Linked DNA regions of Callithrix jacchus. The protein of the gene in region 1 interacts with the protein of each later gene in a biochemical or structural test. Links are inferred from orthologs where the notes say so. Each region holds a gene or a part of one and is shown on either strand. Other genes may lie near its edges. The genes, in order: RBSN, RAB5A and RAB5C.

Region 1 (10,566 bases):
AGGATCTGTGTCTCTCCATGAGAATGTCAACTCCCTGAGGGATCAATGTTTGTTTTGTTTATCTCAGGCACTCATGTAGGTAGGTGCTTAATACATACATAGTTTGTTGAATAAACTTAAAAATCACAAGCCTAAGTCATTTGCTGAGTTACAGATTTTAAACTGGAGTCACAAGACAAATGTGTCAGATGCTCTAACATGCCAAACTTTCTTAAATACCTCAAATACTTAAAATACGATATACACACAGGTCATTTCAAATCTGGGTTAAAATTGAGGTTAACTTCTCAACTGGTTGAAGGTGCATATCTCCGGAGATGTATGTCAGGGAATGAGATCTGAAGCTGCAGACAACCAGTGTGACTTTTTCTCATGATCTGAGGACCATGCTGTGACCTTGATTTTCCTCTTCCCTGCCCTTAGAGCCACCATGCAGTTTGTGTGCAGCGCAGTTGGGAGTGGGGTGGGGGTGGAGTAAGTGGATGCTGAAATCCATTCTGTGCCCCACTTGCCAAATGCAGGGCTTCAGTTCCAGCAAAGGGTTTTGTCCATTAGTGAGAAGGGAGTGGTGCCTCTTTCCCATTTATCACAGGCCTGGATGGGCTGGGAGTGGTCCTGCTTTGTCAAAGAAGGTGCTAACCCACTACCTGAAAATTGGTTGGCTTTCCAGCTCACATCCCCCAAGTCAATTCCATGTTTCCTACTTTTCAGGTTTGTTGAGGCTGTTCCCCCACCTACTATTGGATTTAATGAATCTGAGTTCTTTTCATAGACATCCCATCTGGCAAGGCCATGACTCTCAAAGCTATTTCTATGACACCAGATTGGATCTCACACTTCCTATGCTATTGTCTGACTCAGCACGACACAACAGCCAAGGCATCTGAATCACACTGCTCTTCCTTTTTTTTTATTTAACAAACATTTACATAGTCCTTCTCCTGTGCCAGGTGCTGTTCTAACACTTTCCAAATATTAACCTATTCAACCCTCCAACCTAAGAGGCAGGTACTATAATTATTTCATTTTACAGATGAGGACACTGACGCTCAGATAATTTAAGTGACTCGCCCAGGGTTCACGTGGCCACAGGTGGCAGGGCTGGGATTCAAGGCCTGGAGTCTGTGCTGGTAACCACGATGCTTTGCTCCATCTTTGCTTTTTTATTGTCATTCTTTCCCTCCCTCTTCCTCTTCCTTCCTCCCCTCATTTTCTCTTCCCTTTCTTCTTTCCTCATTCCCTGTTTTTTTCCTGAGAGGACCACGGCAACTGCCACCTGCTTCTCCCAGCCCACCATGCCCTTGCCCCGTTCCTCAAGGCAAGGCTCTGCCAGGCTGGCATCACCCTTGTTTCCCTGTGCCAGCAGATGGGTGTGCCAACTCCCTCAACCTGCTGGCTCAGACCACAGTAGCTGGCAGAGGCCTGGGAGCTGGGGCCAGGCCAGCCTGGAGGGCAGCTGGCCCTTCAGGAAGTTATATGATGTGCCTATATCTTCCCCAGTGATGGCTATGTTACCAATATCATAATTTATTTTCTTGATTTTAATGTGATGCCAACATGTCTTGTGCTGCTTGAGATAAACTTAAGACAAATAAGGGGCCAAGAGAAAGTGAAAGAGTGAGATAGAGAGAAGGACAAAAGGATAGAAAGAGACAGAGAACCCTAAGGTAGAGGGCAAGGGTGAAGAGACCCAGCCATCTGAGGTTCTCTCAATAGAAGCAGCCGCCTATGGCTGGGCGTGGTGGCTCAAGCCTGTAATCCCAGGACTTTGGGAGGCCGAGGCGGGTGGATCACGAGGTAAAGAGATCGAGACCATCCTGGTCAACCTGGTGAAACCCCGTCTCTACTAAAGATACAAAAAATTAGCTGGGCGTGGTGGCCCGTGCCTGTAATCCCAGCTACTCAGGAGGCTGAGGCAGGAGAATTACCTGAACCCAGGAGGCGGAGGTTGCGGTGAGCGGAGATCGCGCCATTGCACTCCAGCCTGGGTAACAAGAGCGAAACTCGGTCTCAAAAAAAAAAGTAGTAGCCGCCTACAGTTTTGGCATCGAGGAGGAGTGGCCTGATATTATCCCTCTATGTGTGAATGAACTTTTTTCTGAGTTTCTCAAAGGACTCCTGCTTTTCTCCATAACTATGCGTTTGCATGTGCGGTTCCCCTGGCCTGGAAGGTCTTCCCCATCGTTTCTACCTGAGGTCCACGCTCACGTGCTGCCCGCTTCTGGGAACCCTTTCCTGCATTCCTGCATGGGACTCTGCTGGTCTCTCCTCTGACACCAGAGCATCCGTGTGCACGTACACACTTCCCTGTCTTCAACTAACTGGCTTACACCTCTCTATGCCCAGTACAGGAGTGGTGCCTGGAGGAGGCTGAGAGTTGCAGGAAGTCTATCAGCACTTCACAGAGGAAGGAAAAGTGGGGATTGCGAAAGCCTCAAGGCAAGATTACTCTGGGTTCAAGGCTTACCAGCTGGTGACCTTGGAGAAGTCACCTAACCTCTCTGTGCCTCAGTTTCCCTTCTATAAATTGGGAATAATATTACATTTTGTACATCATTGGGTTGCATGATAATTAAATGAGTTAAGATATGTAAAGCACATAGAACAGTGTTTGGCATGTGCAAATCACTCAGTAAATATTAATTATTATTATCAAAATGGAAATAGTAATAGAGTTGCCTAAAAGATTAAAGAAAGTACTTTTGATGAAGTGTGAAGCATATAGGGAGGTCTTTGTCATTATCATTAACAATATTGAGAGCAGTGTTCAATCCATTGTGATCTCCAAAATTAACTTACAAAGTGAGGCCACATTGCCATTGCTTTTTTGAGCAAATGAAATGATGAATATGATGTTTTTTTCTTTTCTTTTCTTTTTTGAGGCAGACTTGCTTTGTCCCTCAAGCTGGCGTGCAGTGGCACCATCTTGGCTCACTGCAACCTCCACCTCCTGGGTTCAAGCGATTCTCTTACCTCAACCTCCTGCGTGGCTTGGAGTACAGGCATGCAACACTACACCAGGCTAATTTTTTATGTTTTTGGTAGAAAAGAGGTTTCACCATGTTGGCTAGGCTGTTCTCAAACTCCTGGCCTCAAATGATCTGCCTGCCTCAGCCACCCAAAGTGCTTGATTGGGACCTCCGTGGCCTCAGTCATTCAAGAGGTTGGTTTTACTCCCCAAGTCCTGGCTTTTGGGACTTAAGGCAGAGGCTAGCGACGGAGACGGGAAGCTGGGCCTATTGGTTTGCTTCTGACAGGTTGGGAAGCCTCTTCCTTGTCTGTATCAGCAAACAAAGGGAAGTCATTATTCACTCCTGCTGACATTGTAACGTTAAAAAAAATTTGGCCATCAGATTGAGAGAAAAGGCTTTTAAGTCACTGGCATCAGTTTCTTCTGTACAAATGGGTGAACCCAGGCCAAGAGAGGGGAAACGACCTGCTGAAAGCCACAAAGTAAGGTACAGCCACGGCTAGAACCTAGGTCTCTAGATCCCTAGTTCACTGCCCTTTCACTGGTGATTGCTTTCCAAAAACTCAGTGTTCTCCAAGTCTGGAGCCCCATGCCCTTAAATGCAAGGTGATGGAGGCACAGTGCTCCTGTCCAGAGACCAGGTGGGGAGTACTCTTTGAAGGCAGGGAAAGTGAGATGGGCAAAACCAGTTTGCAGGACACCTCCCTACCATCCAATTATCTCACTTAATCTTCACAGCCCTATGAGGCAGAGACTATCATTATCATCCCAATTTTACTCCTGTAAAAGGGGGTCAGTAACACTGCAGGGATGTAAACGGAGGCCCAGGATCGTCCCATCGTTCTCTGCAGCTCTTGCTTCTGGAGCCTGGCCATTGCTAAGGTCCAGAACGTTTGCAGAGCACAAAGCAAATAGGTCTCCGGGACTCGGATGAGGTTCTGCCTCTCTATACCCTATGGTACCCAGCACAGTGTAGGCGCAGAGTAGGTCCTGGCTGATCAGTCGTCCTGCCTTTTGAAAATGCCATCTTTTCCACAGGATTGGCCATGCTGTACACCCCCGAGATACACCTTCTTATACCAAGTCTCCACTCTCACTCATGTGTTTCTATTCCTGGAGTTTGCGTCGCTCCACGTCCCCTGAATATTTTTTCTGTCTCTAGCCTTCAGGAACTTCGACTCCTTGGCTGCCTTATTCTTTGAGCACACTGGTCAAGAGCCAAAGATCTGTTGGCCTCAGCTCTCCCAGCTGTACAATGGAGTGCAGAGCCAGTGGCTGGCTTTGATGCCCTCCTTGTTCGAATCTGAGACATAAGAACCGCACAAAATTACCGATCCCCACCTCCTCTCCACCCCCGTCCCCGCCCTCGTTCGGAAAGCGCCTGCGCAGAAGCCGCCGGCCTGCCCTTCGCTAGTCGAATCTGTATCCGTCCTTTTCGCGCCCTCGAAGACTCGGCGCTCGACAGGCGTCTGTCTATCAGCGCGCCTTACGGTTGATTCGCCGCCGCAGGCGCGCCTGCCGAGTGCCGAGCTACCGATGGAGATGGCGTCTGCAGCTGTGTGAGGAGCCGTGGAGGCCCAGAACCCGGGCCCAAAGGACTGGACAGGCCTGCGTGCCTGCAGGAGGCCGGCCGGGTACAGAGGGTCAGGCCCAGTCTGAGGGATGGGGACACGGCTTCTCTACAGAACGGAGACGGGGGGTCCTTTGTGGGTGTGGGCCGTGTGTGGTTGTGGTGGGTGTGACGTGAGTGGTGGGAGATGCCGGTTTCAGGCCGTGCGTTTCGCTTGTGTGTGACTGAGGTGATTGGGCTCTGTGTGGTTGTGCGGTTACGTGGGGCGTATACACTTGGGTTTGGTTCTGCAGCTGTGGGGGAAGTGAGTGGGTGTTTGTCTTCCGAGTGGCTGTGTTTGGTTCTCTGGTTGTGTAAAGCTGAAGCGTTTGTATTCTGAATTCGTATGGAGATGTTTGGAGCGTTTTGTGTGATGTCTGTGCGATGTGTGACGTTGTCATCTCTGCTCCACGGGGTTGAGTCGTTCGTCTTGTGTATGGTCATGCGACGTATGTATATTCGTGCTAGTGGCTGGGCGCAGTGGCTCACGCCTGTAATCCCAGCACTTTGGGAGGCTGAGGTGGGCCCATCATCTGAGGTCGGGAGTTCGAGACCAGCCTGGCCAACATGGAGAAACCCCATCTCTACTAAAAATGCAAAATTAGCCGGGCGTGGTGGTGAGCACCTGTAATCCCAGCTACTCGGGAGGCTGAGGCAGGAGAATCACTTGAACCCGAGAGGCGGAGGTTGTGGTGCGGTGAGTCGAGATCTCGACATTGCACTCCAGCCTGAGCAGCAAGAGCGAAACAACATCTCAAAAAAAAAAAAAAAAAAAAATCGTGTTAGTTGTGTGGGTTGTGATCATGTGCAGTCGTGAACACGGGTTGAGTGCGGCTGTGGGATGTGTCCTCGTTGTGGGCGAAATTCATGGTGGATGTAGTTGCAGAACATGTAAGTATTGCGTGTGTGTTTTTTTACTTTTTACATGATTTAGAGTCGAGGGGCTTGCATATGTGTTCAGTTATGGTTGTGGAGTCCGATTCAGCGGTTTATATTAATTTTTTTTTTTTCTGAGACGGAGTTTCGCTCTTGTTACCCAGGCTGGAGTGCAATGGCGCGATCTCGGCTCACCGCAACCTCCGCCTCCTGGGTTCAGGCAATTCTCCTGCCTCAGCCTCCTGAGTAGCTGGGATTACAGGCACGCGTAACCGTGCCCAGCTAATTTTTTGTATTTTTAGTAGAGACGGGGTTTCACCATGTTGACCAGGATGGTCTCGATCTTTTGACCTCATGATCCACCCGCCTCGGCCTCTCATGGTGCTGGGATTACAGGCGTGAGCCACCGCGACCGGCCTATATTAGATTTCTTTATGGCGTATGCTTAGATGAGTTTAGAGTTCATTCATTTGTTCATTTCATTCATGGAGCTTTATTGCGTTTCTTCATTATGTGTGCCAGGTACTGCGCTAAACTCTGGGGAGACAGCAAAGGGGAAAACATATAGAGTCTGTGCCCGCCCTCACAGATTTTACAGTCTTACTTAGTTACTTCACATATGTACCTACAGTTATAAATTGAGATGAGTGCTGTGAAGGAGAAGTCCATTCTGATGCCTTGAATAAGAGGCATTTCTTTGAGGAAGTGAAGTTTGGTTTTGGGCTGAGGCGTGAAGGGTGATTGTGTAGCATGGTTGTGGTGGGCTTTGTGTTTGATTTGTGGTTGTTAGAGGTGAGTGTATGGGTAGGAAGCGAGCTGTCAGAGTCAGCATCAGATGAACCACTGGCTGGGGAGGGAACAGGCCAGACCTAGAGCTGCTATATTTCTTTGGAAAAAAGGCAGGGATCTGCATGTATGTAGTCACTGGGTTTCTTAACTAGAGGGAAAAAATAGGGACCTGGTGTTTCATTTGTTTATTTTCTGAGTTGCTGCCACCCTTCAGCTTTGAGGACCAGGCAGTCCCTCCTCGGTGGTCTTCTACAGTCCATCCAAAGCTAAGGGTAACACATCCCCTCTCACTATATACTGTGGCTTGTAGCCCCAGGTTCTTGGGGAGAAATTTCTCCACTTTTGTGAAATGGTTTTGTCTAGATTTCTCCTGTGACTGGGAGTCTTTATGAGGTGACACTGGAAGTGACTTTACCATGGGTCAGTAAGAAAGAGAATGCAGCTTATTAAGCCCTGAAATGTTTAGGCACCAAAGCCTTTTATTTATTTATTATTTATTTATTTAGAGACGGAATTTCGTTCTTGTTGCCCAGGCTAGAGTGTAATGGCGTGATCTCAGCCCACAGCAACTCTGCCTCCTGGGTTCAAGTGATTCTCCTGCCTCAGCCTCCCAGCAAGCTGGGATTACAGACACCTGCCACCATACCTGGCTAATTTTTGTATTTTTAGTAGAGATGGGTTTTCGTCATATTGGCCAGGCTGATCTTGAGCTCCTGACCTCAGTTGATCTGCCTGCCTCGGCCTCCCAAAGTGCTGGGATTACAGGTGTGAGCCCCTGTGCCTGGCCAGCCTTTTATTTTTGAAGTAGTGGAGAAACATTAGGTTTGCTACTCAGTTGTCACTTACTGGCTTTTAAGATCTATTGGTGCAGTGGCTCACATCTGTAATCTCAGCAGTTTGGGAGGCTCAGGCAGGAGGATCGCTTGAGGCCAGGAGTTAGAGATCCACCTGGGAAACAGCAAGACCCTGTCTCTATAAAAAGTTTAAAAATTAGCTGGGTGTGGTGGCATACTCCTGTAGTCCCAGCTACTTGGGAGGCTGAGGCAGGAGGACCACTTGAACCCAGAAAGTTGAAGCTGTAGTGAGCAGTTATAGCTCACCAGATGACAGAGCAAGATGCTGTCTCTTAAAAAAAAATCTAGTAAGCCCATTGGAGATAAGTGCTCTATAAATATAAAATATATTTTTTCTTTTTGACTAGTAGATTTCTAATTTTTCTCTTTAACTGGTGTTAGGATTTTTGTTTTTTTGTATTTTTTTATGGCAGATACTATATCTTTTTCATCTTTGCATTTCTAACACAGGTGCCTTACAGGTGTTAAGAACTTACCATATGTGGTCAAGTAAACAATCAAGGTAAAGAGCGTCAAGTAAAAACTTCTAAGTACTTCAGACACTCCCCCAGTGGCTAAAGTGGCATACAAATTTTGAAGTTGAATCATTTGGAATGAATGTAAGAGAATTGTCAAGGTATTTGCTTTTTTTCAAGAATCTGTGCTTCCTAACTTTACTGAGTTGTTGTTGTCCAGTGATGTTTTTACATCTTAGGTTTTGCAGCTTGGTTGGGCTAAGGATTTGAGAGTTTGTTTTCTCAAACTTGCACTGAACAAACAAACTTGCACTGTTGTACTGTGAAAAGAATGAAGAAAATTCTCAGTTGCTACCAGTTTGCCTGAATTGGCTTTTTTCCTTCTTCTTTCCTTTCTTAGGGCTCCTCCTATTCCAGAGAGGGAACCTCATCCAGGACCATGAAGCTACTTCCTCACCATCCGTATACTACTTGATTAAGCTAATGCTGCAGGAACCATGGTTCCTTGGAAGGAATCAAGCTGATTCTTGGCATGAGATCCCTGCTTTCTTAGGGTTGAGAGGGGTACTGCCATGGCTTCTCTGGATGACCCAGGGGAAGTGAGGGAGGGCTTTCTCTGCCCTCTGTGCCTGAAGGATCTGCAGTCTTTCTATCAGCTTCATTCACATTACGAGGAAGAGCACTCAGGGGAAGACCGTGATGTCAAAGGGCAAATTAAAAGTAAGAAGCGAGGAGCTTGCCTATCCCCTGCTGTCAGTGAGAGCTTTAACTCATGGGATAGTTCTTATCAGCTTCGGCGTTGCCACAGGAATATGATAATAGTAGTAGCAAACAGATGACTGGTGTTTGTCATGTGCCAGGCATTTTCAGAATCTCCCTGTTTATTAATTTCATTTAGTCCTCACAATAACTTTGTGGCTGTGAGCCACATTTTGCTGATGAGGGCACACAGAGAGATTAGATAACATGTCTAAAGCCACTCAGTGAAACACAGTCTGTCTTTGAATCTAGTAAATGTAATCACTGTGATCTGGCTTGACAGTTCTCTGACCACCAGCCTAACAGGGTTTGAAGAGGAATTTCTTTCCTTTGCTATGATGGTGGAGGCACATTATACACCCATTTTACCTGTCACAGATTTAGGCCTTCCCACCATCCTTTCTTCCCCAATTGGTATCTTGCCCTCTATACCCCAGAAAAAGGAAGGTCATAGTTGAAGAACAAAGAGAAACAATCTGAAAACTTTGGTTTTTGAGCTTCCAAGAGCTCAGATCTGAGCGAGTTGTGGAAAGAATTCTTCAAAGGTACTTTTGACTATACATACATTTATTGTATTTCCTGGACTTGAAATTCTAACCTCCAAATAAGATGCTGCTCCTCTTGCTGGGCACAGTGGCTCACGCCTCTATTCCCAGCACTTTGGGAGGCCAAGGTGGGCGGATCACTTGAGCTCAGGAGTTCAAGACCAGCCTGGGCAACATGACAAAACCCATTCTCAAAAGAATTTTTAAAAAACTAGCTGGGCATGGAGGTGTGTGCCTGTAGTCCCAGTTACTCAGGAGACTGAGGTAGGAGGATTGCTTGAGCCCAAGGAGGTCAAGGCTGTAGTGAGTGGTGATTGTGTCACTGCACTTTTGCCTGGGCAACAGAGAGAGGGATAGAGAGAGATCCTGTCTCAGACACACACAACAAAGCTGTTGCTCCTCTGGAACTTACTTTCGTGGTTATTCAGCTAATTTGCTTCTCACAGCTGGCAGCATTTCTGAAGGCCATGAAATTAAACAGTTCCGGACCAGGTGCAGTGGCTCACGCCTGTGATCCCAGAGTCTTTCTGTTTATTATGTCCCTCAGGGCAGATCACCTGAGGTCAGGAGTTCAAGACAAGCTTGGCTAACATGGTGAAATCCGGTTTCTACTACAAATACAAAAAATTAGCTGGGCCTGATGGTACACACCTGTAATCCCAGCTATTTGGGAGGCTGAGGCAGGAGAATCGCTTGAACCCAGGAGGCAGAGGTTGCAGTGAGCCAAGATCGCTCCATTTTACTCCAGCTTGGGCAACAAGAATGAAAGTGCGTCTTGGGGAAAAAAAAAAGTTCTGGATGCTCTATTCACAGACTTTATTGAGAGGGAAAGAAAGGAATGATCATGTATTCCTAAGTGGACTTTGGTCTTCAGACAAGCGAATCATATACACTTTGTAATCAGATATTTGTGCCTAGAGTCCCACTCTATCTCACTTTTCTGTTCAGTAAAAAAAAGTTTCTGAAAACATAAACAAAACTAAAAAACCGCTAACAAAGGCAAACATTTCTGAAATTCTGAGAGCTATGATGGATGAGGTGGCTTCTGGCTGTAGAGGTTGTAGAGCAGAGCCAAAACTATTAGGAGGGGAAAAAAATGCTGTGCTTTATAGTTTTTAAGAGTTTCTTTCACAGACATTATTATTTCATCTGACTTTCCTAACTTTGCAAGAAAGTGTTGGTCTCGGCCGGGCGTGGTGGCTCACACCTGTAATTCCAGCACTTTGGGAGGCTGAGGCAGGCCGATCATGAGGTGAAGAGTTCAAGAACATCCTGGCCAACATGGTGAAACCCCATCTCTACTAAGAATATAAAAATTAGCTGGGCATGATGGCACGTGTCTGTAGTCCCAGCTACTCAGGAGGCTGAGGCAGGAGAATCGCTTGAACCCGGGAAGCAGAGGTTGCAAGTGACCCGCGATCACGCCATTGCACTCCAGCCTGGCGACAGAGCGAGACTCTATCTCAAAACAAAAACAAACAAAAAGAAAGTGATTGGTCTCATTTTATAGATAGCAAGTGAAGTGAGGCTCAAGAGACATTGAGTTACTTATCCACGGTCACATAGGAATTGGCAGAACTAGGCCTGGAATGTAGGTCTTCTGTTATCTCTAAGTCCAGGGCTGCCCTTTACACGTGACATCACTGAGGATGAGAGGCCCATGTTCCAATCACAGCATGCATCGCAGCTTCCTGGGGGAAATGAAGCA
Region 2 (10,335 bases), on another chromosome or scaffold:
CAATGCCTTTAAAGGCTTACTTTCTCAGCTCTTCTTTTTTTTTATGAGGTTACAGGCCTTTGGGGGCAAATTTTGACTGGGAAAAATTAAACTACATTGATAAAAAAAAATCTGCCACAGAATTTGCTACATATTTGGGTCCTTCAATGTTTTAAGTGTGTGGAACAATGCTACATCTAGACTTGCATTGGCTTATTCAGTGGTGGACTCTAAGGAAGCACCACCAGAAGGAAGAAATCCACCAACAATGAATCCTCTAGGCATTCCTCCTGCACTCTGCTACAGTTTGGTAATGATGGGATTGCAGACTTTCTCCAGCTCTTTCTGCTGATGTTCAAATTCTTCCTTCTCAACATCCTGATTCTTATCTAGATCCACTTAATAATTTCATCATACCTGAAAGAATCTTCTGTTTGTCATCATGAATCATCAAGAATCTTGCCTTGAAGTTTCTCATCTTCAACAGTTTGAAAATGTTCATCATAATATGTTAGGAAAAAAAATGAAGAGTTTTTTTTCCTTTTTTTTTAGTAGAGACAGGGTTTCACATGTTGGCCAGGCTGGTTTCAAACTCCTGACTTCAGGTGATCTGCCTGCCTCAGCCTCCCAAAGTGCTGGGATTACAGGCATGAGCCATTGTGCCCCAGAAAGTAAAAAAGTAGCCTGATGTGTGAGTGCAGTGGTTGTTCACAGGTGCGATCCCACTACTGGTCAGCATAGGAGTTTTGATCTGCTCCGTTTCAGACCTGGGCTGGTTCACCCCTCCTTAGGCAACCTAGTGGTCCCCAGCTCCCGGGAGTTTACCATATTGATGCCGAACTTAGTGTGGACACCCTATCGGCATGGCACACTACAGCCCAGAACTCCTGGACTCAAGTGATCCTCCAGCCTCAGCCTCCCAAGTAGCTGGGACTAAAGGCACGCACCACCGTGCCTGGCCATAAATTCTTTAAATGACTTTGCAGTGTGTAAATCAAGGCAACTTTGTATAAGGGCTCATTCAATTCATTCATTCGTTCTACAAAAAGGTATTGAGTCCCTCCCCATTTTGTGTCAGTGTTGGGAATACAACGGAATACAGTTGGCCCTCTGTATTCTGTAGAAAGCATTTGAGTTAAAAAAAAAAAAAAAAAAAAAAAGGCAGTCGGTCATGGTGACTCACACCTGTAATCCCAGCACTTTGGAAAGCCAAGGCGGGCAGATCACCTGAGGTCGGGAATTTGAGACCAGCCTGACCAGCAAGGAGAAATCCCATCTCTACTAAAAAATATAAAATTAGCCAGACATGATGGCACGTGTCTGTAATCCCAGCTACTTGGGGGTGGGGGGGCTGAGGGAGGAGAATTGCTTGAACCTGGGAGGCAGAGGTTGAGGTGAGGTGAGATTGTGCCATTGCACTCTAACCTGGGCAACAAGAGTGAAACTCCATCTCAAAAAAAAAAAAAAAAAAAGCAATATAAAATAATACAAATTGAAAAAAACACAACTATTTACCTATCATTTACATTGCATTAGGTATTGTAAGTAATCTGAAGATGATGTAAAGCATACAGAATAGCCTACATGTAAATACTACGCCATTTTATGTGAGACTTGAGTATCTGCAAATTTTGATACCCACATGGTGGGGGAATAGGGTAGTATCCAAGAACCAGTCACCAGCAGATGGACTGACTATATAACCCAATCCCTATCTCATGGAGCTTATATTCTAGTAGGGATAGATAACCATCAAGTGGAACGCATATCTTATCAAATAGTGTTAAGTGTTATTTGTTAAGATATAGAAGACATGAAGACAACAGTCTGCTTTTATGTTTAAGAAAGCACTTTAGAATTAGTGGACTTAGAAGTCCTGTAGGTAGGTGACATTGAGCTAAAGCCTGAATGATGTTCTCCAAAGGCACAAGCTTTTCAAACATGACTAGCTCAAGCTTCACAGCCTTTTTCACTAACTTGTTACCATGCCAATGTTAGAGTTACCGTTGGTTTGTCTCCAGAAAAAATTTTGAATTGTCTCCAGATAGTTCCAATTAAAAGTAAATGAAACCATTCATTATCATCTATTCAAAGATTCATTCTTCAGCTACATAAGGGAGGACAGATTTCCTGGAAGAGATGGAAAAGGATATGGGGTGCTGTGAATGGTTGGGAGACACCTGCCACTGGGAATTTGTGATTGAGTATTTAGAGATTTGAGGGCAGTATAAGCACTAATGTTTAAGTCTTTATGATTATTTATCCATTTTGTAGCTTCCTTAACAAATTCTATCAACTGATAGGATTCTACATTTGACACTAAAATATATACAATTATCAGTCCTCCTCATTTATCTGGGGTTATGAAAAAGAAAACACAGACATATTGCAAGTGGCAGTACAACAGAGCTTTACCATGGCATTTCAATTTCTCTAAAATTACTACCGGATCTTTAGAAGTGCCAGCCACCGGGGCAGCACTCTTCCAGGCAAACATTATGACTAAACTGTAAAATATTGTGAGATATATTCATGAAGGAGGTGAAGACAAAATCAAACAGAAACGAGTGAGGAAGCAACATACTGAAACGATGAAATAGGGAGGGTTTTTTTTGGCAATTTATAAATTTCAGCATCGAATGTTTTAGTTGTGAGGTCTTCTTAGTCTAATGTTCACCATTCTAAACATAATTAAGTTCACCAATACTTTGGGGGTCTCTACTATAGCAATCAAAGGTCTTCTGTGAAGAGCTGAAATGATGAATAAGTGATAGTCCCAACCCTTAAAAACCTTATAATGCAATGAAAGGCTAAGGAGAAAAGTTCAGGTGCTCATTAACTATTAAAATAAGGCCGATTTTAAGACAGTTATTATAGAGACTAAGGCAAAGTATTGTGAAATTATAGAAAAAAAAATAATTGAATCCAGTAGAAGTATCTGCAGATACTGTCCAGAGTAACTGGTATCCTGGCTGAGATGGAAACAGCAGTTATGGGCAATAATGGTGTTCTAAGTGTAGGGAATAAAGTGATCAGATACCAAGATGGCAACACATAGGCAATATTCAGGGAACACAGAGTAGATACGTGTGGTTAGGGGACAAATAGTTTGGTGAGAGGGATTCTATAGAAATGGAACGAAAGAAACATGGGTTGGGACTAGAGTTAAAAGAACTTTAGAGTGGCAAGTAATGAGATACCACTGAACATTTTTTAGTAGAGTGACTGGCTAAAGTGTAAAGAATGGACAGAAAGAGCAGCAGTATGCATTAATTCCAGTTTATTTATAGAAACACTACCGTGGACGAGGTGTTGGGATTAGACCTCAAATTTGGGGATTATATAATTTGTTGATGGAATGGACAACGGTTTGTGAGGAGAAGGAAGAGCTGAAGATGATTCTGCCTTTCCAAGTCTGGGTGACTGGGAGGATGTTAATGCCAGTCTCTAAGCAGAAGCAGGTTTGGAGTGGAATAGGTTTGGTTTTCGCATGCTGCTGACATGACTGATGAGACATATCCTATTTCCTGGTTCCTCTTGGGATTGTCCAAGAGCTATTACCATGACTAACAGTTCATATTGGAACTCCTTGTAGATAAAACGCCACAGGTACAATTTACGTATGACACACTACGTTCTTCTGGCACTTGGGTAGTTACTATGAAAGACTGGCTGTTCAAAGTTCAAATCATCTTCATGGCACAATGCCGACTGCGCACCCACAGGATACCTTAACCTGGTGCGCTTCAAAGACAATATTCTCGCCCTCACAACAGAGCTATACATTGTAAACTGCAAACTGAAAAGTAGCCTTTATTCCAAGGGAAAGATCAATGGAATATTCTTCAACCAAATTACCAAAACAATTTTTTTGGCAGGGGCTGGGGCAGAAGCCTCGCCAGAGACTGATTGTGGGGTGGGGTCCAACAAAAGCACATCTTCAGTAGGTCCCCCGTGTAGGGGAACGAAGGTCTTGGGTTATCTTTCACCAGAATTGTGTTCAGCAACTCACATTCTGGAGCCAACCCGCAGATTAGAATTCAGCTTCGGCACCACCCAGCAGTGATCTCGGACAAATTAACATCTTCTGCCTCAAATTCTTTACCTGTAAAACATCCATCGCTGGGACTGAAGACTTGGCTGCCAGGCACTGGGCTAGATACAGGTTTACAGCGGTGAGGACCACTAAGGTGAATTAAAATTCGAATGTAGGGAACAGGCGTTAACAAGTTATTTTCAGAATGAAAGACTCCTAGTGTAAGAATTCAACGGGATAATTCCTGTAAAGCATTTAGTGCAGTAAAAAAGCTAGATACTATTTTAGGATTTGACCCTACCCGCCCCCTACCAAAACCAGGTAAACTCTCAGTGGAAGCGACTTATTGTTACGCGCCTAAAGGCGACTTTTGGGATAGAGAGGGCCCTCTCTTCCTCCTTAGGGTAAGTGCGATTTACCAGTCTTTATCGACCCACCCAACCCCAGGGACGTTTTGAGGGAAGAGGTTCTGTGGAGTTAAGACGTCTAAGTGCCCTCTAATAAAGCCCCTTCGCAAAGGTGCCAGATTGGGGTGAGGGAACCTCTCTGCTCCCACAAGGGCTGGGCACAGAAAAAAAAACAAAACACAAGTTCTTTTGGTCTTCTCCCAAAGGAGAGTAAAGGAATTTTCCCCGCCCCCAGCAGCCTGCAGCCCAGAGACCCTCGCCCAGCTAACAGTGGCGCTGGAGAGGGCGTGCCCCGCGCATCTGCGGTGGGGGAAGGGAAGAAAGGCGGCCAGAGCGGCTCAGAGCCTCTCGCAGGGTCACGTGACATTCTGCCTCGCCCCGCCCCGCGAACAAACCAGGGCGGGGAGGGATTCGGGAAGGGGCGGGGAAACGGCTGGAGAGGGCGGACTGGCAGTGACGGGAAGTGACGAAGGGGCGTAGTTCGTTGCGTGCGGCGACGTGGCGGTGGGGCCGACACCGGGCAGCGGAAGTGGCTCCAGCGGTGGGACCTGAGTGTTTGTGTTTTGGTTCGTGAAGGAGCCGGCGGCTGGCCTGAGGGGAGGAGGCAGAGGGAGGAGGAGGCAGAATTAGTCGGAACTCGAGCGCCGGCGGCGGCGGCGGAGGAGGAGGAGAAAGGAAAGAGGAAGGCGGAGCGGCGAGAGGCGGAGACGGAGCCCGACAGGGGCGGCACCACAGCAGGAGCCCCGCACAGTCCAGTGTGAGGGGAGCGGCGCGAAGAGCACACACCACCGCCACCACCACCACCGCCATAGACACACTCGTCCCACGGGCCACGCCTGGGCCTTGCTGCCAGGAAGCTTCGGCCCCGCAGCTCCGCTTGCTGCTGTCTCAGGTAACCGAACCGCCCCTCCCCCTGCGCAGCGGGGGCATGGACCCCACGTTATCCGCGGTCCCCAGCCTGTCCGCGGCCCTGCCGGCACTGAGACCCCCGCCCCTTTTCCCTCACGCGCACCAGTGTCCTGGGCCAGAGAACTTCCGAACTCAGCGTCTTGTTCTGCCAGCCCTGGTGACTCATCCTCAAGGGGCTCTGGAGACCGGGATTTGGGGACTGACTGAGGGAGCGACGGGTGTCACCCTTTCCCTTCTCAAGATGGCGCCGTGGAAAGTGTACTGGAGGCCGCGGTTCCGCCTGTTCCCTGTCCTGGCAGTTCTGGGGGTCTCGGTCAAAGCCGGCTAGGTTCGGGGGAGGAGGTTGGAAAGGCCAAGGGACCTGGCGAGTGCTGCTTATCCAGGAGAGCTGGAGTTGGCTATTAGCTACTCAAGTGCTCTCCTAGCAGGAACCCGGGCCTACTGCAGGTGTGAATGTGGGGAGCTCCGCCTACTCTCAACTTCCAAACACCGGTGGTGGAGGGGGTGGGGGCCTTGTCAAAACAGCCTGTCTAGAGACTCGCCTCTTATATATGTGGAAGGTAGTGTATTACGGCTCTAAAGAGATTCAAGATAACAGGACCGCTGAACTCCTTCACTGTGTAGAGACCTTGAAAGTTGCTCTGATGTCTTCCCTGGAAGCTGCTTTACCTTCTGAGACTTCCAAACTTTTGAGTTCAGAACGTCATAGTTCGCATATTTAATTTTTGTATCGCTTTAGTGGAATCAAGGCGTTCAATCAGTTGTTGCCTTACACATAATGAGACAAAACAGTTGCACCTCTGGGAATACTGAGGATTGCTCATAAACTTTATTCCTATAGTAAAATGGAAGTGATAACTCAGCATTTGTGTAAGCAAAGTACACGGAACAGTGCCCGGCACAAATTAGTAAATTTTTTGATCAAACAACCCGTAGAAGGATTTTAACTATAGAATGAATAACAGTTATTTTTAAAAGATTATAAATGTATATTTTGCAAGATTCTTGTTTTGCAAAACGAGTTTCAGTAAGAAGTGAACACAAATGAATGCACTTAATTTTTAACCTTAGTGTTAGGCTAAGTGTATGTTTACTATTAAGTTATTTCTTGTTTGAGATCCCTGGGTGGGAATGGGGGGCTGGGGGTCGGGGGAGTAACCACAATTGAGTAGCTTTGAACCTTAAAAGTCAAAGTGAAATCAGAATCTTGTTTGATTTTGATTTCTTTTTTTTTAGTGAGAGAGTGGGAGTCTGCTGTCCCTGAAATTTTGGAAGTACCTTAGAAATTTGGAGCATACTGTCCCTGATAAATAATTTCTTATTTAGTAGTTAAAAGGATAAATGGAAAATGTTTCAGTTGATACTTAGTGTATAATATCTGAAGATGTGTTGGTACATTTTCAGAATATATGATGTTCTATTGGTATTTTATCATTTTCTTATCAAAGGACCACATTATAGGCAATTTCAGTCCCTACTGTGTGTATTAGAGATTATTTACATGTGTTGTTTCATTTAATTCTCACAGCAGCTATGCAAGTTAGATATTATGGGAATAGAGACTTGGAAATTAAAGAGTTTGCCCAGGCGGAAATTGGTGTCGCCAGGATTAGACCCCCAAATCTAGTGTTTGTGGGGGAGGGGGCATTTTTATTTATACCTTGTTATTTGGAAGCAACTCAGATATTCTGTCTTTAAATATTTCAGTATGTAATGGTAAAAGATAAGGACTCTAAAAAGCTGGTGTTTAGTTAAGGCAGGGAGGCAATTTTATTGCCTTAAGAACATCTCATGGATATGTTAGTTCATTATGAAGAGTGTTTTTTATAAACTCAATTTATGAGGAAGGCATATTTCTTTCATTTTTTGTTTTTAATATAGAGACAAGATCCCACTATGTTGCCCAGGCTGGTCTCAAGCAATCCTCCTATCTCACCCCAAAGTGTGGGGATTACTGGTGTAAGCCCCTGTCTCTGGTGCAAAAGACATATTTCTTGTATGAGGTAGCTAAATGAAATATAGCAGGGTTTTTAGAGAAGGAATCATCAGGTTTGATATATTAGCATATATTTGGATTTTGGTTAAAGATAGAAGGAAACTGTGAACATTGGTTTGTGAGTTGATTGAAAAAAGTTCTTCAAATATTCACTAATTCCTTAGAGATTAAAAGTTAGCATTATTAGATAATGGTAACACATAGAAGTCACCATTCAGGCTAGTTTTTTTTACTGTGTTGTTTAAAAAAAAAAATAATGGCCTGCAGGCTGGCCATGGTGACTCACACCTGTAATCCCAGCACTTTGGGAGGCTGAGGCAGGAGGATTGCTTGAGCCTGGGAGTTCTAGATCATCCTGGGCAACATAGCAGGGCAATGTCTGTACTGACAAATGAGCCCAGCATGGTTTTGAGTGCCCTGTAGTCCCAGTTACTCAGGAGGTTGAGGCAAGAGGAGTGCTTGAGCCCAGGAGGTTGAGGTTGCAGTGCACTCCAGTCTGGGTGAGAGAGCAAAATCCTTTCTCAAAAAAATTAAAGTTTATAAAAAATGGCATGCATATTGTTCATCCAAAAACTACAAAAAAGTTAGTTAGTGTAAGTAAATAAATGAGTAATAATCCCACCACACAGAAAACAACTGTTAACATTTCTATGTGTGGTATACTTGAGCAGATGAGGAAACAGTTTTAAGTCTTTCCGCCATTAGGCACACAAACCCAGGTGACTGAAAATATTTGTTGTCGAAATTACCATTAAACATTGTTTAACAGAAGACTTTAAGTAATAATAAATTCTTGGATCTGCTCTAAAAGCTTCTCAGTTATTAATAACATAATTTTTCTCAAAAAAAATGTTAACCCAAGTAGCCTGGCTCTAGAACTTGAACTCTTGAGTCATCTCTCAGGTTCCCTGGATTTGAAACTCAGCTCTGTGTCACTTCTGTCACAGTAACTCTGTGACCTCAAGTAAGCTTTTTCACATCTCTGGGCTTGCTTCCTCATTTATAAGGATTGTAATAATATCTCATTTTATAGGATTGTTGAGAAGTTAAGTACTTAAAGTACTGCCTGGCACAAAGTTGAAGCTTTGAGAGGTTAGCCTTAAAAAAAAAAAAAAGTGATTTTGAGCTCAAATCCTATACCTTTAAATTTCCTGTAAAAGATAGTGACCTATTCTAAAGGATGTTGAAGGTCTAGTAGAGCTTAAAATAATCATAATATGCTATAGGCAAAATTTAAAGTGATTAATAGTAAATTTGCTTTACTGATTTGTACATTTACTTCATAATTGTTTCTTTGCAGGTTTCTTTACCTCCAGAAAGAAGAAGATTGACGCCTTGAATTCTGGAACTTCATTGAAGAGTCTGAAATTAGGGATTTATTTCAAATTTGGACATGGCTAATCGAGGTGCAACAAGACCCAACGGGCCAAATACTGGAAATAAAATATGCCAGTTCAAACTAGTACTTCTGGGAGAGTCTGCTGTTGGCAAATCAAGCCTAGTGCTTCGTTTTGTGAAAGGCCAGTTTCATGAATTTCAAGAGAGTACCATTGGAGGTGAGATATTTTTTTTCCCTGCTTCATTTCATCAAATCATACCTTGACAGAAAATATTTTGATGTTCCAATTGTGTGATTATGAATAGCTAAATAAGTCACAGAGTGAAGAAAAGAGTTATTCAGCTGACCTTAAGCTTTAAAACTTGCCTTTATCTTTGTTGAAACGATGTCTTTTTACATTTGATTGTTTGGTTAATTCCATGTGGTTATATTGTAGCTAAAATATAGTTAAAAACATGAGTAGAATTAGTGTTTCAAGTTATAAGATTTGATCTGGTATCTATTTCTTGCTGATAACTAGAAGCTTCTTCAAATTAATACAGTACATATTTGTGCTCAATTATGTTGGCTTGAAATGAATAGTAAAAAAGGTAACCTTAAATTCTGATCTATATAACTGAACTATTTGAATAATTTATACTTGTCAAATTATTTAAATACTGTTAGATGTACTTTTTTTGTTATTTGAAAGATGGGATCTTGCTGTTGTGTAGACTGGAGTGCAGTGTCAGGATCATACCTCACTGCAGACTGCAGCCTGGAACTCTGGGCTCAGATGATCTTCCTGCCTTAGCCTCCCAAGTAGTTGGGCCTACAAGTGCATGCCATCCTGCCAGGAAAGTTTTTTGTTTTGTTTCGTTTTTTTTAAAGAGTCAGAGTATTGCTGTGTTTCCAGGTTGGTCTTGAACTCCTGGCCTCAAGTGAGCCTCCAGCCTCAACCTCCCAGGTAACTCTGGTTACAGGTGCTCCCTGCTAAGACGTACATGTAAGAATGCTCCTAAGCTGAGGGAAGAGAAAAAGCGATTATCGGAAAGGGACATGACAGGAAAATGGAACGTGGAGAAAAAGATGAAAGAAGGGAAAGAGTAGGCACTGCACAAGGTGGTTATGGCGGGACAGAGATGAGGGGAAGGTAAGATGCAGGGCAAAAAGGGGACAACAAACAGTACAGTATTGTCAAGAGAAGACGTGAAGTGCGAAAATTGAATTTTAGCTCGGCATGGTGCTGCATGCCTGTAGTCCCAGGATTATTTTAGCCTAGGAGTTCAAGTCTAGCCTGGGCAACATAATGAGACCCACATCTCTTAAAAAAATACATTAACTTTGATTAAAGAAACCTGTAATTATTTAACACTGGGACAAGATAGCCTCTTTTGTGCCTCTGTTTTGTCTGTGAAATGATGCTTTTCAATAAGATGATGTGTGGGAAGAACTACACAGTTTGAGATTCACAGTATTTTGCATATATATATATATATATATAAACAATGCTGTTTTCCAAGGTATTTATGTATATATTTTAACCCCATATTGCAAAATTAAAGTCACACTTTTGAAGTACATGAGACTGGTAGATACCAACTGGCATGTGGCAACTTCTTAGAATCTTTAAGAAGCAAAATTTTATACTGTGCATTTAGTGAGTGCTCTTAGGCAAATACATTTGAGA
Region 3 (10,376 bases), on another chromosome or scaffold:
TTAGCCGGGAGCTGCGGCATATCATGGGCCTGCTGCAGGCCAGGCTGGGTCCTCCTGGCCAAGCAGCAGGCCCTGCTTGGACCCCAGAACCTCCTTGTCCACATCTGAGGCCACCTTGCCTCTCTCCTTGTGCGTCCAGATCACCACCCAGCCTCCAGGATACTACGCGTGCTGAAGTTCACCCCCCAGCCAGTATGGGGACCATGGAGACAGGAACTGCACCCCTGGACTCGAGACCTTCCATATTGCTTCCCTACCCCGCAGAACCTGACCCTCTGGGACCCTCTCCAATGCCAGAGGCCTCACCCTCAACCCCAAGCCTCATGAGGCATAGTTTCCAGTCCAGGTCAGACACGTTCCACTGACCCTGGCCCAGGGCCCAGGCCTGTCAGGGGTGGGCGCTGCTGCTCACCATTCTGGGAGGACCTGGGCCCCTTGGCCTCCTGCCTTAGGGGTCAGCAGCCACCAGCTGGCATGGTTGGCTCTGGATTTCTGGACTTATTAACCAAGCCTGGTTACCTCTGATGCTATTCCCTTTTCAAAGCCTTCCCCAGCCTCCCCCTCTGTGAGGGGAGCCACCTGATGGTCATGGAACCCAGCAGGCATGAGACGAACTGCAGTGCCCATTGGACTGGGCAGATGAGATCCTACTTTCTCCCCAGGACCTGGAGGCAGGTAGAGATGGGGAGCAGAGGGGACGGGCAAGGGACCCATCTCCAGCCTAGGACATGAAGGCAAGACCAGGCAGGATCATAGCAAGTGAGACAGGTTGCAGGATTTAGCCTGGAGATAGCTTAGTGATATTGTGGGGTCTTCTGTCTCAGCCCCTGGGTCTCTGCTGAAGACCCTAAGAGCAATGTTACTGCCCGGGTGCGGTGGCTCTCACCCGTAATCCCAACACTTTGGGAGGCCGAGGCGGGTGGATCACCTGAGGTTGGGAGTTCAAGACCAGCTTGACCAACATGGGGAAACCCCATCTCTATTAAAAATACAGAGTTAGCCAGGTGTGGTGGTGCATGCCTATAATCCCAGCCACTCAGGAGGCTGAGGCAGGAGAACCACTTGAACCTGGGAGGCAGAGGTTGTGGTGAGCTGAGATCGCTCCATTGCACTCCAGCCAGGGCAACAAGAGCAAAACTCCATTTCAAAAAAAAAAAAAAATTAGCCAGGCATGGTGGCGCACGCCTATAGTTCCAGCTACTCTCGAGGCTGAGGCAGGAGAATCACTTGAACCCAGGAGGCAGGGGTTACATAGATTGCACCACTGTACTCCAGCCTGGATGACAGAGCAAGACTCCATCTCAAAAAAAGAAAAAGAAAAAAAAAGAGAGAGAGGTTATATAGGAATCCAGATATTCCAGTTTCTCTAAAAAATGTAGCACTGGACATAGTCGCTTATCCCTGTAATGCCAGCACTTTGGGTGGGAGAGGTGGGAGAATCGATTGAGCCCATGAGTTCGAGAGCTGCTTGGGCAACATAGTGAGACCCCGTCTCTATAAAAATATTTTTTGGGCCGGGCATGGTGGCTCACGCCTGTAATCCCAGCACTTTGGGAGGCCAAGGCAGGCTGATCACCTGAGGTCAGGAGTTCGAGACCAGCCTGACCAACATGGAGAAACCCCATCTCTACTGAAAATACAAAATTAGCTGGGCATGGTGGCACATGCCTGTAATCCAAGCTACTTGGGAGGATGAGGCAGGAGAATCGCTTGAACTCGGGAGGTGGAGGTTGTGGTGAATCGAGATTGTGCCATTGCACTCCAGCCTGGGCAACAGGAGCAAAACTTCATCTAAAAAAAAAACAAAAAAACTTTTTTGCCAGACGTGGTGGCTCACTCCCAGCACTTTGGGAGGCTGAAGCGGGTGGATCACAAGGTCAGGAGTTCAAGACCACCCTGGCCAAGATGGTGAAACCCCATCTTTATTTTAAAAAAAAGAGAGAGGGCCGGGTGCGGTGGCTCACACCTATAATCCCAGCATTTTGGGAGGCCAAGGTGGGTGGATCACAAGGTCAAGAGATCGAGACCATCCTGGTCAACATGGTGAAGCCCCGTCTCTACTAAAGATACAAAAATTAGCTGGGCGTGGTGGTGCGTGCCTGTAGTCCCAGCTACTTGGGAGGCTGAGGCAGGAGAATTGCTTGAACCCAGGAGGCGGATGTTGCGGCGAGCCAAGATTGTGCCATTGCACTCTAGTCTGGGTAACAATAGTGAAACTCCATCTCAAAAAAAAAAAAAAAGAAAAAAAAAGAGAGAGAAAAAAAATTTTTTTTTAAAAATTAGCCAGGTGTAGTGGTGCATGCCTGTGGTTCCAGCTACTTCAGAAGCTGAAGTGGGAGAATGACTTGAACCCAGCCTGGGCAACATAGCAAGACCCCCCCGACCTCCGCCATGCCCCAACTCTATAAAAATAAAAAATTAGCCAGGTGTAGTGGTGTGTGTCTGTGGTCCCAGCTACTCCGGAGGCTGAGGTGGGAGGATCACTTGAGCCCAGGAGGTTGAGGCTGCAGCGAGCATTGATCACACCACTGCATTCCAGCCTGGGTGATAGTGATACTCTGTCTCAAAAACAAAAAACCCAGGACATCTGGCTACCATGGGCCAACATTCCATCTGGCAATAATTGAAATCAGCAGGGGCGAAGAGGTGGCCACTGTCCTCCTTAATGGAATCTGCTCTGCGCCCTACTTCGCAGTCACCACTTGCGGTCAAGGGTTTCATGATCATCTCCCGACACCCGGCTAGATTCCCTCGTTTGAAACTTTTGTCTGCTCTCTGTAGGTATTTGAGTTCCCAAAACTTGAGTGTCCATCAGAACTACCTGAGATCCCATTAAAATGTAGATTCTGCCAGGATGGTGGCCCAAAAATAAATAACTAAATAAAAAGTAGATTCCTGGGCCTCACCCAATTTGGAATATCCAGGTGGAGCCCACGGGTGGAGGTGCAACCCCCGCCTCCTTACATAAGAGCCTGTTCCCAGGTCCCTGTGCCTAACAGGTGCTTTTGGGGCCCAGTAGTGTCTGCTTCTACTCCTAGGCATGAGTCTGGCAACATCTCTGTTTCTGTCTCTCTGCAGGCTGTCTCTCAGGCTGGTCTCTTCTGCTACTAGCAACTCAAAAATCCCTACAGCACGCCCTATCCCTCCCCGACCCCCAGACCTCTGCCAAGCCTGTTCTCCCCCATGACAACATGGTTTCATGCAAGGCCTGGATGGCTCCAAAACTCACCCAGGTCTCCAGCTCTTCTCTACCACCCAACATCTTGGGCTCACTTTTGGATAGAAAATAAAGTCTTTATTTTTGTAGTTATTGGCTCTGGGTATATCTGGGGGTTAGTCTGAGAGTCCCAAGGCTTTGGAGGAGCAACATAGCAATCACTCCCCACCCCTACCCCCCTCACCCCCCGCTGTACCCCAGGGCCCCGTTGCTATCTCTAGGAAGGATGGAGGCACCAGCCAATCTATTTGGCACCACATTCACACCACCAGGGGCCCCAGAAATGAGGGAGAAATCTTAATTAATCACTATGGGCCTGTTATATTCCCTTCTCCCCTGCACCTCAGTCATAGCCACATAAACACACAGTATGTGGGAAGAACAGAATCCTGGCTCAGGCCCACCCCCAGCCTTGGAAGGGTGGGCCCAGGGGACTACCCATCCCTCCTGTGTAAGGAACTGTTGCAGAGCTGGGTATGGAAGCGGGGCTGGGGGGAAGAGCTAGCCTGTCAGCAGCCAAAGCCTGCTAGGAATCCCACTCCGCCCCATCCACTCTGTCCTTCCAACAAGCCAACAAGCCCTCTTCCCTCTTCCCTTTCACTTCTCTCATGATCACCTGCACTGGAGTGGGGATTGTGTGTTATGGATGTAAGAAAGAGACACCCTGCTGACCAGATGGAACTAGATGTGGGCACAGTTTTGTGGCAGGTTGTCCCAGAGAGGTCGATTCTCCAGCTGAGGCTCCAGGATATGCCCGGTGTTGGCCAGTACTAGAGGCACAATGGTCACAGCTGTCTCCAGTGAGCTTTGATTCTACACAGGTTTTCAGTAGTGTCCCTGGAGGGTAACATGCAAAGGAAGAGGAGGTACTAGTCTGTGTTGAGAGGTAAGGGTGGGCGGAATCAGGAGCTGGCCGGATCCATATTCAGAGGAGCAGAAGAAACAAATAGTCCTGATCCATATGGGGAGGGGCAGAGTGGGGGTGGTTCTAGTCTTTATTTTCAGATGGAGAGGTCCGAGCCAGAGGTTATCCAGCTCTACATTCCGCGTCAGAGAGAAGAGCTGACCCTGGCTGGGAGCAGGGGAAGGCAGAGGCGGAGATGGTCTTTGCGCCGGCCCCCCCCCCGACACACCAAGTAGGGGGTGGTGGCAGAAGCTCTCCCTTTGATCTCACTCAGCATCCTGCAGAGAACCTTTCCTACAGCCTTTCATCGCTTTCATCGCCTTCCCCATCACAGAGGCCCCCAGCAATCGGGCTTCCCAAGCTGACTTGGCCGGAAAGCGCAGACAGGGGCTGCTCCAGATCAGCGAGTTCACAGGACTGGTCCACGCAGCCTCGCGTGCATATTCATTCGCACCATGTTTTTCCTTTTCCAATTCTGCACACACAGTCCTCTGCCTTCTTCCAACTCTCCGCCACTCGCCTTCCCTCGGGCGTCCGGAACCGGCGGTGACGCGGGTGGCAGGCTTGGCCTTAAAAAGTTCCCGGCCGTAGGCCGGGCACGGTGGCTCTGGCCTGTAATCTCAGCACTTTGGGAGGCCGAAGAAGGCGGATCACCCGAGGTTGGGAGTTCAAGACCAGTCTGGCCAAGATGGTGAAACCCCGTCTCTACAAAACATACAAAATTAGCCGAGCGTGGTGGTGCATGACTTTAATCCCAGCTACTCGGGAGGCTGAGGCAGGAGAATCGCTTGAACCCGGGAGGCGGAGGTTGCAGTGAGCCGAGATCGCGCCACTGCATTCCAGCCTGGGAGACAGACTGAGACTCCTCACAAAAAAATAATAATTCCCGGCCGGGCTCCGCCTCGCAGTCAGCCGGCTCCACCCTAAGCCCAAATCCCAGGCAGCCGCCAACTCCTCCCAGCGCTGCGAACTACAAGTCCCGCCATCCTTCGCGCGCGCCCTCCAACCACTCCCGCGTTTCTACCGGAGCCGCTGGATAGGTCGGCCAAGAGTGCCTTCCATTAGTCCCTCTACCCTGTCAATCACCTGGGTAGTATTGAGGGGCGGGACGGAGGTGGAGATCCGGATCCGGAGCGGCTGAAAGGCGGAAGTGGAGGCCGGAGCCTGGGACACCGCCGGGGGGGGGGGAGAGAAGCGAAGCCTGTCCGAGTCCCGGCCCCAAGTAACGCTGCCGTCCCGGAGCCGCCGTGAGTATGCCTGTCCCCGAACCTGGTGTCTCGCCTGCGTTGAAGCATCTCCAGGGCAGCCCTTACTCACCACCCAGCCCGTTTAGGGGGATAATGACCCCTCCCCCGACCCGTAGCCTCCTCCTAAGGGGTTCCCCAGGCGTCGGGCCAAAGGAGCGGGGGAGCTTCTTTCTTTAGCTTACCTGCCTTTCGTGAGCCTTAAGGAAACTCCTATGACTGTTCTCTGGCCTGTCCATTCCAGTTGTGGGAGAGAGGAACCCTAAGTTCCGCTCGCCTTGCTCCCAGAATCGAAGGATCTTTGCCAGGTGTGAAGGAACCTGTCCTTCTTGTCTTTTAGAAGTGACAGGGAGTGCTGTCTGTCGCCGTTTTCCTTCCTCCTGTCCCACGAAACCAGTTGTCCCCTCCAGCCCTAGAGGAATATGTCGATTTCCTATGGGGGAGGGGGTCGTCTGGGTGAGACCGTTCCACACGCACAGAAGTGTATTTGCGCTTCCACAACTCCTTACTTCCCTCTTTCCTCAAGCCAGAAAACCAACCAGGACCTCAGTTAAAAGTCTGGGTCATTTAGTAGGAATGAGATGTTTTCTTGCTTTGCCCCTTCTGTCTCCCTGCCCTATTCTCTAGTTATGTTGTTCTCTGAGTGTCTCTCTCTTTCTGCCCCTGAAGAATTTAGCTGAGGTTTGCTCAATCCTAGCTACAGATCACAGATCAGGGTGGATATGCCCATTCATTATCTTCTCTCCCCTCCCCCCTTGCTCCAGGCTCAGCTCTGTCCTCCCAGAGCACGTGAGTAGTTTTCAAGCCTCCTCAAAGGGACTGCTTCTCCCGGGACTGCTGTCCGTGTGTCTATAGGCAGGAGAATAAGACCCAAAATGAGGAGTCTGGAGTTGAAGAATTATCTCTTTCCCACTTCCAGACACACACACATAAACCACCCTGAGCAACAGGTCCACACCGCGCTGGTATCTAATCCCTTCTGGGCTTGGACTTATTACTGAGGACTAAGTCAAGATCCCACTGGCAGTTCTGGGGTCTGAATTGTAGCCTGAAGAATTCCCACACATGCCAGAAAATGCTGGTTCCCTCAACCGTATGGACTGTTGCTTGGGGCTTAGGTGTGTGAAATAGCTGCTGTCTCTGACCAAGCTTTGTTATGTGGCCAAAGTACAGGCCCGAGACTGTACCTTAATGAGGAGTAGCCTGTCTCTGAGGCCGTGACTGACCCTTGCTATCTACAGTGGATATGTAGATAGCAAGTGGGATAGATAGTGGGAATGTCTGTAGCTCTTCAGTTTTCTGAGCTACCTTTACCACCCTCTCGTGCTGCTTAAAAGTGCTGTTTTTTGGTATTGAGGTGTTTTTGAGTACTTCTGGACAGTCACTAGTGTCTGATTTCTCCAGTCTTGTGAGTAGACCTAGGACTTATTTCACCTTCCCCCAGCGCCCCCACTTCCCCCCTGCTGGAGTGCATTGGCCCCATCTCAGCTCACTGCAACCTCCACTTCCCAGGTTTAAGCAAATCTCTGCCTCAGCCTCCCGAGTAGCTGGGATTACAGGCGCATGCCATCATACCGGCTAACTTTGTATTTTTAGTAGAGACAGGGTTTCACCATGTTGGCCAGACTGGTCTTGAACTCCTGACCTCATGATCCGCCTGCCTTGGCCTCCAAAAGTGCTGGGAGTACAGGTGTGAGCCACCGCACCCAGCCTACTTATTTCACTTTTTATTGGACAACAGAAGCCTTCCTTATTAGGGTCAACAGCTGGATCACAAGCTCTTTATCTGTGTGGGTTCCTTGGGGGCTCATTGGAGACTTCTTCAGCCAATCTAGTTTTTCTGATCTGGGCAGCCTGGGCATCTGAGGGGCAGGGTCAGAGAGGCCTGACTGCTCACTGGCCATTGGTCTCTGACCAGACTTACGTCTTCAGGAGTGGACCATGGTTTGTCAGTCTTCAGGAGTCCTGGGATGAGACTGACCAGCCTTCTGAGGAGACCTTTTTTCCTTTGTCTGGACATGCTCTTCCAGCTCTGACTCTGAAACAATTTTTTTTGGTTTGTTTTTCTTTTGAGATGGAGTCTTGCTCTGTCACCGAGGCTGGAGCGTGGTGGCATGATCTCTGCTCACTGCAACCTCCACCTCCTGAGTTCAAGGGCTTCTCCTGCCTGAGCCTCCCAAGTAGCTGGGACTACAGGAGCGTGCCACCACGCCAGGCTAATTTTTGTATTTTTAGTAGAGATGGGGTTTCGCCATATTCGCCAGGCTGGTCTCGAATTCCTGACCTCAGGTGATCCACTCGCCTCAGCCTCCCAAAGTCCCGGGATGACAGGTGTGAGCCACTGCACCCGGCCTGAAATGACTTTTGAAGGGGAAGCTCGGCCATTTAGACAGACGAGGAAGGCCCCAGTGCTTTGGGAGAGAATGCAGCTGCTTCTGGCATCCAGAAATTATAGTCCAAGCAGAGGTCTGACTGCTTGGCAGAAAGCTATGGCTCTGTGTGTGACAGAAACCCCTCCTTTCTGATGCTGTTCCTCTCCTGCCCTCTTGCCTCTCATGATTAGTGGGCTGTTAAACTGTAGAGGGGCAATAACACTAATTTTTAAAAATCATTTTAAAGTTACAAAGTTATTTTCATACATATTCCTCACAGGTACCCTGGGAATAGTGGGGTTTGTTTCCCCACTTGTTTTTAATTTTTGTTACTTTTTTCTTTTTTGGAGTAAGATAAGGCAAGTATGTGTTTCTGCTTTAGAGAACATGCTAAAGGAACTTAAGTAGCTTGCTTAAGGTCATACATTTAGAAAGTGGTAGAGCTGGGGCTGGGATTTGGGGTCAGATGTGACCTTATCTTTTAATAGTGGGCCTTCTTTGGCCTGGTTTGTTTGCTAAATGAATGAACATGCAGGGTGAGTGCGCTGCACCACGAGGGCAGACTGTTAATCCTTTAGCCCTCCTCATCACTGGCACAGCTCTCTTCTCATTTTCTTCCCCCACCTCAACCCAAACTCCTGTCTTCTCTCTTGACCCCTTTCTTCTCTGCCTCTGAGGACCAAGACAGGAGTCCCAAGTCAGTCCTTTTCAGGGCCAGACAGTTTGCTGACATCTGCATGCCATTAATTTTTTGGGAACCTGAAAGTCTTAATGGCTAGAAAATGAAAGTTAAAGTGAGTGAACTCAGGGGTCCCTCTGGGCAGGGTTGAGGGGGAACCAGCAGAGGAGGCCTCTGATTAGTCCTCTGTTTCCCTGCTGGTACTGCCTGCTGATTGCAAGTGGGAAGAATGTGGCTGGCCACCAGGAGCTCTGGTCATTAGAATTTACATGGAAACAGAGCAAGATTATACATTTTTTGTTTTTGTATTTTTTGAGACAGAGTCTTGCTGTTGTTGCCCAGGCTGGAGGGCAGTGGCACGATTGGCTCACTGCAACCTCCACCTCCCAGGTTCAAGCAATTCTCCTGTCTTAGCCTCCTAAGTAGCTGGGATTACAGGTGCATGCCACCACACCTGTCTAATTTTTGTATTTTTAGTAGAGATGAGCTTTCTCCATGTTGGCCAGGTTGGTCTCAAAACTCCTGACCTTGTGATCTACCCTCCTCGGCCTTCCAAAGTGCTGGGATTACAGACATGAGCCACTATGCCCAGCCAAGAGCATACGTTTAAATTCAGCCCACCAGGCAAGTACTTTTTTTTACTTCCTGCCCTTCCCCAGGAAACAGGCAGTGTGGTAGGGTGTAAGGCACTAGAACTTTGGAGGCAGTTGGACCTGAGTTCTCATCCCGACTCCCCCACTTATCAGTTGTGTGACCTTGGGCTTGTTACTTGACCTCAATGAGCCTATGTTTCTTCCTGCTTTAGAGAACATGCTAAAGGAACTTAAGTAGCTTGCCTAAGGTCATGCATTTAGAAAGTGGTAGAGCTGGGGCTGGGATTTGGGGTCAGATGTGACCTTATCTTTTAACAGTGGGCCTGTTAAGGTCAGATGTGACCTTATCTTTTAACAGTGGGTAAAATGGGGATGCTAGATACCTTGCAGAATTAGAAACAAAGAAAGAAGCTAGTCCAGTGCTGGCAGAGACTAGAAAATAGCTTTTGCCTCTGATGGGTAGGTAGGGGTTTGAAGGTAAATCATAAAATCATAATTCAACGCCAAGATTCTTTCTTTATTTTATTTTATTTTATTTTATTTTTGAGACAGAGTCTCATTCTGTCGCCCAGGCTGGTGTGCAATGGTATGATCTCGGCCCACTACAACCTCCACCTCCTGGGTTCAAGCAATTCTCCTGCCTCAGCCTCTTGAATAGCTGGGATTACAGGCATTCGCCACCATGCCTAGCTAATGGGTTTTTTTTTTTTTTTGAGTTGGAGTCTAGCTCTGTCACCAGGCTAGAGTGCAGTGTGGGATCTCGGCTCACTGCATCCTCCGCCCCCTGGGTTCAAGAGATTTTCCTGCCTCAGCTTCCCAAGTAGCTGGGACTACAGGGGCATACCACCACGCCCAGCTAATTTTTATATTTTTAGTAGAGATGGGGTTTCACCATGTTGGCCAGGATTGTCTCCTAACTCTGGACTTCAGGTGATCCGTCCACCTTGGCCTCCCAAAGTGCTGGGATTACAGGTGTGAGCCACTGTGTCCGGCCCTAATTTTTGTATTTTGTGTAGAGATGGGGTTTCTCCATGTTGGTCAGACCTCCTGACCCAGGTAATCGAGACCAGCCTTGACACTGATTATGATTCAACATTTGTATCAATTATATGCTGGGGCCTGGTGCAGTGTCTCATGCCCATAATCACAGCACTTCAAGAGGATCGCTTGATCCCAGGAGTCCAAGACCAGCCTGGATTCAGGGCTGTGGTGGATCAGGCCTGTGATCCTAGCACTGTGTTTTTTTTTGTTTTTTGTTTTTTTTTTTAAATGGAGTCTTGCTCTGTTGCCCAGGCTGTAGTGCAGTGGCTCAATCTCAGCTCACTGCATCCTCTCCCGCCCGGGTTCAAGCAATTCCCCTGCCTCAC

What was found.
Region 2: the proteins of RBSN (region 1) and RAB5A form a complex in vitro, tested with the Homo sapiens proteins (3 studies listed by BioGRID, with this or other methods). The link is inferred for Callithrix jacchus from reciprocal best matches to the Homo sapiens genes RBSN and RAB5A.
Region 3: the proteins of RBSN (region 1) and RAB5C form a complex in vitro, tested with the Homo sapiens proteins (2 studies listed by BioGRID and IntAct, with this or other methods). The link is inferred for Callithrix jacchus from reciprocal best matches to the Homo sapiens genes RBSN and RAB5C.

Annotation. Positions count from the first base shown.
Region 1 is NC_133516.1:72,080,938-72,091,503, reverse strand, and holds the start of RBSN (rabenosyn-5), read left to right. Parts: upstream 1-4,495; 5' UTR 4,496-4,614; intron 4,615-4,668; exon of another isoform or gene 4,669-5,471; intron 5,472-7,549; 5' UTR 7,550-7,698; exon of another isoform or gene 7,699-7,715; intron 7,716-7,954; 5' UTR 7,955-8,126; coding exon 8,127-8,274; intron 8,275-10,566. UniProt on the Homo sapiens protein: Rab4/Rab5 effector protein acting in early endocytic membrane fusion and membrane trafficking of recycling endosomes. Required for endosome fusion either homotypically or with clathrin coated vesicles.
Region 2 is NC_133518.1:58,457,354-58,467,688, forward strand, and holds the start of RAB5A (ras-related protein Rab-5A), read left to right. Parts: upstream 1-4,947; 5' UTR 4,948-5,314; intron 5,315-8,627; 5' UTR 8,628-8,720; coding exon 8,721-8,883; intron 8,884-10,335. UniProt on the Homo sapiens protein: The small GTPases Rab are key regulators of intracellular membrane trafficking, from the formation of transport vesicles to their fusion with membranes.
Region 3 is NC_133506.1:121,572,060-121,582,435, reverse strand, and holds the start of RAB5C (ras-related protein Rab-5C), read left to right. Parts: upstream 1-5,267; 5' UTR 5,268-5,368; intron 5,369-5,550; exon of another isoform or gene 5,551-6,010; intron 6,011-10,376. Other genes in the region: voltage-gated delayed rectifier potassium channel KCNH4, read left to right, coding at 1-346, 545-569. UniProt on the Homo sapiens protein: The small GTPases Rab are key regulators of intracellular membrane trafficking, from the formation of transport vesicles to their fusion with membranes.